Caenorhabditis elegans: one gene and its partner. The protein of the gene in region 1 interacts with the protein of each later gene in a biochemical or structural test. Each region holds a gene or a part of one and is shown on either strand. Other genes may lie near its edges.

Region 1 (5,673 bases):
TCCGACTCACTTACACAAACAAACAAACAAAAGTCCTTTGCGAAAAGCACATATACCGTCCCCTCATACATACACTACAAGAGAGGGGGCCCCTCCGTTTTCCCTATTGATTCCCCTTCTCTCGCTGGTCACTCACTCTCTTATTTCTCCCCCTTTTTCCATTTTTATATTCACGATTCAATGTGTCATCTAAACCTTCTACTAGTTCTGAACTATTTTTTCTCAGTTTTTTTTCTATTCCGGAATGTTTGTCCTTTGAAGTGCACCACGATGACCGTAACCACTTTTGTACACTATTTCATAATTTTGGAGTCTCAAAGTTGCATCTAGGTTTTGGTGGTTTTGAGCGGAGGGGCACGCCATTTTTTTGGAATCTAGTTCTTATTGTTAGAAGGGTAAGAATTGTGATCTTGTAGACCCAAAATATTATGACCTCAAAAACCAGTCATTTCACTTATTTGAAAACCAGGGGCGAAACATTTTGTCTTCTACTATAAAATTATCTCTGATTATATCTACTGCTTCAACTCATCCTCAGACCTACGTGCCTACGTGCCATGTTTCTTGTATGATTTCTTAATCTCACTGAATTTTTTTCCTATCATTCGGCCGTAAGATCTCTGCCAAAAACTTTAGCAACTTTAGGAACTTTTAAACCAAATTTTGCCAGTTTTCTGTAATTTTAAGTGAGAATGTTTGTAAAACCAATTTGTGCAACTAGCATTTCTCTAGATCCTAGAAGCCTAGATCCTAAAGTTGGTCGAGAAGTTGCGTAAGATCAAACTAGCTAGTAAGATCTCTCGATCAAAGAACTCCCTATCCGTTTCCTACCTAAAACCATGGTTTGTGCCTTCTTTCCAGGCTACCTATACATTTTGATCTATTTCCTCATACGTCAAATCAATTCACCCAATTTATTCAATCTTGACGAAATTTTTCTGTCAGTTGATCTATAAGAAGCATCAAATGTTGATCTTTCGAAAAATTGAAAATACTATGAGGAATATAAAGTCTAAAGATCCGTCTCAGAATGACAAATGATTCCGTTTTTGCACAAACATCGTCTGACCTTGGCGGAAACGTTTTCTTTACTTATTTCCTTAGGATACTTTCTCATGTTAAAAAAATTGGTATAAAGTTCCTGAATCAACAGGAACCAAGCAGTATGGGTGGTCTGGCTTTGACCACTCTGGCTTTATAATGTGGCTGAAAATTGGTAACTATTTGGTTGATCAAAACATTTGTCGCACACTCTGACAGTTATTGACAGTCTATCTTTCTATCTGGTCTACAGTAACCCTACAGTATCCCTAGAGTATACAGTAGCCCGTACTATCTCTCTACCAAAACCAACTGTTCCTCAATTGAAATACAAAAACCCTTTAAAAAAACAAAAAAACCCTAACAAAAACCCATCCTACAGCACTCATACGGTACTACAGTACCCCTGCAGTACTACAGTGCTCCCACATTACTCCTACAGTATCCCTAAACTAACCCACTTAGTATAGAAACTTAAATTCCATGTATTTTGCTAGTTGACAATTTTTTGATGTTTCCAGTTAAATTGGCCAAAGCGGAAACTATACTTCCTTTTCCAAATTCTGCAAATTTGCCGTTTTCTCTAGTTTTATTTGAAAAAAACCCAATATTTAATTAGATTACTTCTGCAACATTATCACTCATCTCATGACCTTCCATCCCCTCCTTTTTCATGTTCACCTTGAGAACTCGTAACACAAATCAAAACTGTACTCTTCCTCCCCCTCCCGCCCGCGATCACTTTTCTCATTGTCTGGCGCGTGTAAATGGTAGCAAAAGCTGGTTGTAATCATAATTACACTTTGACATTTCACTCGTTGCATTGTTGTCAATCACTCACTTTTTCCATTTTTCTCGCTGACCTCCTCATTGCAGATGGACGAACTAATCACCCTGGAAGGTGCTTCTCAATCTGAACAAATCATTGGATCCCATGATTTTTGCAACTTTTCCAATATCACCCATCATGAGCACGATGAGCAATCGATTTCGATTGTCTGGTGGAGCAACGTGGCAGTTTTACCCGTGATTGCTCTGATAGGATTGGCTTGTAATCTACTTAATATGGCGGTGCTGACCTCGAATAAAACAGCACGCCGAATCCCTTCGTGGAACCTTTTAATAGCTCTCGCAGTATGTGATAGCTTATTTTTGATATTTGCTACTCTGGATGTAACTCCATTATCTATTCCATCACTGGCATTTTCCACTTCTTTCAATCATTTTTATTCAAGAATTGTGCTTTATATTCGGACATTGGCATCAACTTTCTACAAAAGCAGTGTTTTGTAAGTTTTAGTTTTTTGAAATTTTATTTTATTTTAAGGTCGTAATATTCCAAAAAGTAAGTTTTTGGCAAACTGCCAAATTTTGGAAAAAATTAGGCATGTATATAGGCATGTATGACCTATTTTTTGATTATTTCATACATAGTTGTTCAATTTAAGATTTTGAAGCTATTTTTAACCTTCATTTCAAAATATAATCGAACGACTCAAATCCATTTCCACATAGCATTTAAATTATTTCACATTTCGCTAATACTTTTTTTCAATTTTGCAAGTATTCCAGAATTGTTGTGGCCTTCAACATTGAACGTTACCTGTGCGTCGTTTGTCCGCTAAACTCGCATCGATGGTGTACTTCAAGAAACTCGAAAAATGCGATTGCCACTGCGTAAGTGGGGGTTCTATTTTTAGCGGGATTATTTGTAAATCTATAAGAAATAACTGGGTCAACAGTTTTGGTTAATTGAAGTTATGATTCTAAATTGTGTGTATTTTGAAATTCCAGGGAGTTGAAGATCCAGGAGTTATGGTAGTTACGCAGAAAGTCCAATTGTTGGAATATTTGGAAATTTACAAAAACTTTAAATTAAAATTTCAAAAATCTAAAACTGCACATTTGTAGTGTTTTGTTTTGTCAAAAAAATCTTCCTTCCAGTTTTAAGTTTAAAATGTGTGCATAACAAAACTTGGCATAACTCGATTAATTCCAGAATTGTGCTCTCATTCCTGTGCTCCATTCAATGGCCATTGGCCTATGACACAATTCGTTGTTTCGAAAGCAATTCAAATCAATACTACTACGTGATTCTAATGTCGACAAACCGTGCTCTTCAGGTATTTACCATGTTCTTCTTTCCTACACTCTTTTTTTTTCGTTTCCAATGGCATTGTGGCGCAAAGTAGTAACTTGATATCCGCCACTGAGTTTTGTTGTAATTAGAAAAGCTTTTACTTACTGTTTGGAGAAGGTAAATTAGAAAGATGGGGAGGTAGGAATCTTTGAAATTTATTTTTAGAATCAAAATGAGCAAATCGGATTTGCACAAACACATTGAGAAGTAAACATAACACCCGATTAGTTGACAGTTTGTGACTGGAATGACTAATTGTTTGTTTCTATAGTAATTCGCTGAGCAGGGGAAAAATGGCGGGAGAATAGAGGTCAAAAAGATGATAGGTAATTATGAGTCAGTTAGGTTTTAGGTGGAAATTTATCTAGGGACCTTTGATGGGACTTGCAACATAAGAACTAATGTATCGTTTTGCTCCTTTTAGAAATTAATATAGTAATGTAGAGTAATATTTTAACTTTCTGAAAACAATGTTACTTTTACTATATGATTTTGGAACATTGCTCAAAAAATGCCATTAAAGTTGCAATGTGATGTGCGATCAGAACATTGTGACTTTGAGGCAGTAGTTGAGCAATTTTTGAAAATGTTCATTAAAAGTAAAGTTATTTTCAGAAAGTTCAAATATTGTTCTATATTTCCATATACGTTTTTAAAAAGAAAACTTCGACAACCATGAGAAAAAAGGAATTTTGTGAAACAAGCTGGAAATTAGATCTCGACAATTTTTGAAAAAAATTTTCAATTCAAAAATTCTAGATTTTATATTTTGTATTTTTCAAATCAAATTTATTCATAAATTTCCAATTTTTTTCCAGATTTACTACCGAACAATGGACTATGTGTCTTTATTCGCTTTCAATGTCCTCCCAATTATTGGTCTTCTCTACATGAATTCTCGAATAATCTTCACTCTTCGCAGAGTTGTTGATGAAGATTCAAGAAAATACGAAGAAACCAAACTTTCCGATGGTTTGATTCAGCATGATGCTCATAACAACCGAACTATGAGAGCAAATGCAATGCTTTTCGCAGTCGTCTTCATGCTTTTCTTCTGTGTTGGACCTCAGGCTCCTGCAAGAATTCTGTTCGATATGTATGGACAGTATCATCCAAAAGCCATACTTTATGTATGTTTGAGCCAACAACTGGTATTCCTGAATGCGTCACTCAATTTCTGTTTGTATTGTGTTGTGTCAAAGAGATATCGAACGTTGATGAAACAGACTTTGAAGAAGTTCTTGCACAAACTTGAAGGTGAGCAACATTTTGAAATTTTGTCGAGCTCGCTCGGCATGGTGTGTTGAAGTTTTTTTCCTGGAAATGTAAGAAGAAATATAGAAAAATATTTGAATTATTTGAAAATGACTTTTTCAAATTTAAATTTTAAAAAATTGCTCAAAAATTGACTCAAAGTCGCAATGTGTCGAGTGAATATGCCATTTGATATATCGATATTTGATTTAATTCTTGAGCAAATTTTTACAAATTTCATATAAAAGTGAAACTATTTTTAGAAAGTACAAGTATTTTTCTATATTTCTATATAAATTTCCAAAAAAATACTTAAACATAACGAAGAGAAAAAAGGGCCTGAAAACGGCCTTACATAATTTCCTACTTCATGCTTTAACTAAAGTTGAATATATTCCAATTTTCAGGAGTCGACCATCCATTCCAAATCAATCTGAAACAAACAAAGAGCAGCTCGGCACATGTGACATCTCTTGAGGATCATCATGCTCACCTCATTCAAAATGTCTAGATCATACTTGCTTACTCAAATCAGATACACGGGTTCTCTCCCTCATTCCTAGCATTTTGCACATACATATATGTATTACTAGGTTCATGCTTTATATGTACTTTTATTCCACGGGTTTTACCTTGATTCCAGTCCTTGTAATTAGAATGATGATCTTCGGAGACAGAGAATAAATCGGTATTGTTTTTTGATTTCTTGATGATTGGTGAATGGTGATGACGTGAAGGGGAAAGGTGTGTTTTGGATGGAATTTGACGATTTTCAGACGTCAATAGAGAAGCTTGATTGGGGGTCATCGGGGAATTATAGGCGCTAATTATTGAATGAAAACAATGACGAAAAATGTTCAAAGCTCAGTGATCTATAGCGGAAATTAGTTAAGAGACTTGCCAAATTACTTATGCACATCTTTCAATTAATCTGAGTGGTTGTTTACACTTGGAGAACTGTATTTGATAGTTTTATTTTCACAAAAAATGTGTCAAAGCGCATAAACTATATGCAGCAAATATCTTTTAAAAATTAAAAAAAAAACTAAATATTAAACAAAAAAGTTAACATTTTTATTCACTGTCAAAAAATGGCAACCACTCAATTTTCGACTATCAAAAAAAAGAATCGAAAAGTTTATATTACAAATTTTTTTTACTGATTTTAGGGGATCAAACATGCAAGAATGCTCGAAACTTCTTTGAAAGTCCAATTTTTTAATATTCCAATTTAGCAA
Region 2 (3,994 bases), on another chromosome or scaffold:
ACCTCATGAGGCTATTCTCTCACCATTTAACAATTGTCTACATTTTTTTCTCATGAAACATTTATACAAACTATTTTCTCTCTCAGTTTTTTCGTTAACGGAATCCCTAAACTTGTAACTTCATACCCCCTTACGTCTTTTCTTGGTCTTTTGTCCTCTTATCCGAAATTAGATATTGCTCCCTTTTTTCGGGATTTGTAGCCGATTTGGAGTTGGTATTCTGTTTGAGGAAAAGAAAGTTCAGAATTTCACTTTTCGTTTGTTTGTAACGTTTGTATATAGTTTTTAAATTTAGCGGGAAGATCCAATTTTTTGGGAAAAAAAATTTTACGCGAAATTCAAATTGCCACAGAAACAAGAGAATTTCTGGAATTTTCTTTAAAGTTCTGAACAGTTTCAATAATTTCTGGAAAGTTTCAGATATCTTAGAAAAGTTCTGGAATTTCACGAAAACTTTTGGAAATATCAAGAAAAATCTGGAAAAAAAAACTAGAAACTTTAGTAAGGCTCTCGAAACTTCTGGAAACATCTATAAAAATTTGGAAAAATATGCAAACTTCTGGGTTCTGAAATTTTTTTTTCAATTTTTTGGAAACTCCTAAAAATCTGGACAAAAACTAGAAATTTTAGTAAGGTTCGAAAAATTCTTAGAAAAAAAAACAGTTCGAGTCAGTTCGGGAAGCTTTGAAAATTTTCTGGACAGTTTCAGCAATTTTTGAAAAGTTTTGGAAGTTTCTGGAAACATCTAGAAAAATTTTGAAAAATCTAGAAATTTTTTTAAATTTCTAGAAAAGCTTGCAATCTTCTGGAAACTCCTAAAAAATATGGAAAGTCATATTATAGTTTGTAGTTTGTGACGTCATAGCTCAATGTATCTAAAAGAAAACTTAGTGCCAACTTACACATAGGATAGTTGTACAGTCGACGAATTGCGTTCGCCCGTGAAGCTATAGCTTTAATTATTCGAAATACTTCCTCAAAATGAAAAAAAAATTCTGAAGGTGTTCTGTGATATTTGCTTCCATTTTTTTAACTCACTCATTTTGTTTTTTTCAACTTTTTTCAACAAAAATATCTCAAACATCGCCCACCCCCCTCAAATTCGTCATGTTTCGTCGTCAATTTTCCTTTTTTACTATACGTTTTCATCATACAGCCTACAACAAAAATCTGCTATCTCATTAGTCAAAAATCTCAAAAAATGTTAGTCACTATGCTAGATTTTTACAGTAAAAAATGTCTAATGACGTTCCTAATTAGTGAATCTTGGTTTTTGTCCATCAGCTCCCCGAAAAACAAAAGAAAACCCTTATTAAAGAAGCCACCAAGCCATGGAAACTCTCATTGTTCTTCTTCTACCATTTTTTCTTGACTTGTCATTTTGAATAATTTCGTTCATTTTCTCATTTTTCCATTTACGGTAGGCTTTCAAGATTGATAGGTTCACCTCTTTTTTATGACGTCAAGAACGAGAAAAAAAACGGCGAGGAGGAAAAGGGCGTGTCCTATTGAGATTGAGATGCTCTTGGAGCAGCACACTTTGCTGTTGAACAGCAGCCGGGATGTTTTAAAATTTTCTGGTGTTTCAGAGAACGATACCATCAATTTTTGTGAAAAAGCTTAGTGTGAAATTAAGCTAGACTCTTTCATGTGATTTTTAAAAATAACAAGGGCTTCGGTCTAGACTAGATTTCTTGAACTTGAACTAACTAGAAGTCCACATTTTTTTCTATTTTTTTCCATAATTTTATACATTATGGATGCTCCCTTTTACTTTTTACACCATCACTTCCACTAAAAAATTCTTTCTTCCAGGGTTCCAACATGCAACGATCTCTTCAGATCTTCTGCATCATGTCCGCCATCGCAATGGCATACAGTCAAGGTTTGTGTTGTGTCATTTGATCAGAAACAACCAAACATTAAAGGCGAAATTCGAACCTTTTCCTCCTAATTTCATTGACTAATTGTAACAAAATCCTCTGAGCTTCAAAAATGATGTCAGCTCAGCGGAATCTTTGCAACTGAACACTTTCCAAAATTCCCAAAATTCCCAAAATTTTTAAGGTAGTCGTGACGATAATCAGAGTGCAAAGCGCAACGATTTCTCCCGTGACATCATGTCATTTGGAAAGAGGTCTGGAAACACAGCCGACTTGTATGATCGGAGAATTATGGCTTTTGGAAAGAGACAACCAAGTGTAAGTTGGTGGAAGTTGGGCAATATATTAGAAAAGTACAGTAATCCTACCGTAATCTGATAGTAACTAGTGGTAGTTGAGGTGCCATGTATTTATATAAAATGAGCCATGTTCTCCCAATATTTTTTTTGTATTTAATTTATCTGAGAATAGCTTCAATTTCAATTGAAACAATTGAAAAGACTCCCAAAAAATGTCTAAAAGTCCGACAATTAATCAAAACTCTTTTCCGGTAGTTTACAATTTTCAGACATTTTTATGAGTACTTTTTCCTTTGCAACAATTAAAATTTAAGCGATACTACATTTCCGCGATACTTGAATTTAAGTAATCAATATTCTATAACAGAATTTCAATGAATAATATTAAGAAAACATGCCACGCTGTCTCATTTTGTAGAATTGCTCGCAAACCTCGGCTGCGCATGATCCTTGAGGATCTCGGTGATGGGCTCAAACTAAAATCTAAAAACTACAAACTACACATTACACTACAGTAAAACAAATTACTTTAATCTAACCCAGTCATGTTACCAATTGATACTACTTCGCTAAATTAGGCCGCGGTAGACTACATAATTTTCCGCGAGACTTGAATTTTGTCGGCTGCTCACCCCAACTATGATAAATACATAATAACCTATCATATTTCAGTACGACAGAGACATCATGTCATTCGGCAAACGATCGGCTCCCAGCGACTTCTCGCGAGACATCATGAGCTTCGGAAAGCGATCCTCCTCTATGGTACTACCCTCTTTTTCTTATTTTCTACGTCGTTTCCGTAATCCATCTATTCTACAGTACGACCGTGACATCATGTCATTCGGCAAACGTTCACCCGTCGACTACGATCGTCCGATTATGGCATTCGGAAAGCGGGCCGAGGACTACGAACGTCAGATCATGGCCTTCGGACGGCGCAAGTAAACCATTTGGTTGATGACAATTGGGCACCCTTCATCTTGTGTATAATACTCGTTTAAGACTCATTTTAAAGCGTAATTTGATTTTTTTTTCATCTCATTTGAAATAAGAAAATTGTGTTGTTTCACCCCCTTCATCCCATTCAACAAGCGTTCAGTTTATTCGGATCTTTGTCTATTTCTTCTCTTGCCAATTCTCTATGCTTCCCTACTTATGATCTCATCATTCATTTCAACCTCCCCCCAAAAAAACCTCTCATCCCCACCTTTTTCTTATGTGCGTGCGCAGACGGACGAAAAAAAATGAAGTTGAATGTTAGACCATGTTTCCGATTTTTGAGAATGTGGATTTCGGCAGCAGGATTGTTGAGAAACTATCTAATATTGAACCAAAAATCTGGTACTGTACCCAATCGTTAACATTTAAAAATGTTCGCTCAAAATCAGCACAATTGCTCTATGACTAAAGATTTCCTTAAAAAAAATTCTGAAAATAAACAAGGAAACATTAAGCCTTGCTATTCCAGGGGTGATCACGTCAAACGGAAGCACGTCTCCGGAAATATTATCAAAACCGTGACTTTTCAGTTTTCTAGGCTAAGGTGACAAATTTATCGTGCTAAAAGGACATAGATTGAGTTAAATAGTAGACACATCAAGAAAAGGCAATAAAATTCGAAGTAATCTCAAAATATTTAAAAGTGTGCCGGATATAAAATTTTTGCAAAAAAAAGGAGAAACTGAAGTAAAGTTATCCTTTCAATTATATGGATATGGACTAAAAATGATTTTTTTTCAAACATAAAAACATTGAATGTAAATCAGTCTGTAAAATAAAATATTTAAATTGTCATCCACCACTACATTT

Evidence for each region.
Region 2: the proteins of npr-41 (region 1) and nlp-13 interact in a test that uses a peptide from one of them, tested with the Caenorhabditis elegans proteins (one large-scale study listed by BioGRID).

What each region holds. Positions count from the first base shown.
Region 1 is NC_003280.10:11,508,758-11,514,430, forward strand, and holds npr-41 (G-protein coupled receptors family 1 profile domain-containing protein), read left to right. Parts: upstream 1-1,915; 5' UTR 1,916-1,917; coding exon 1,918-2,330; intron 2,331-2,613; coding exon 2,614-2,718; intron 2,719-3,040; coding exon 3,041-3,164; intron 3,165-3,999; coding exon 4,000-4,438; intron 4,439-4,842; coding exon 4,843-4,946; 3' UTR 4,947-5,135; downstream 5,136-5,673.
Region 2 is NC_003283.11:4,234,603-4,238,596, forward strand, and holds nlp-13 (Neuropeptide-Like Protein), read left to right. Parts: upstream 1-1,815; 5' UTR 1,816-1,824; coding exon 1,825-1,885; intron 1,886-2,067; coding exon 2,068-2,201; intron 2,202-2,854; coding exon 2,855-2,947; intron 2,948-3,004; coding exon 3,005-3,130; 3' UTR 3,131-3,454; downstream 3,455-3,994.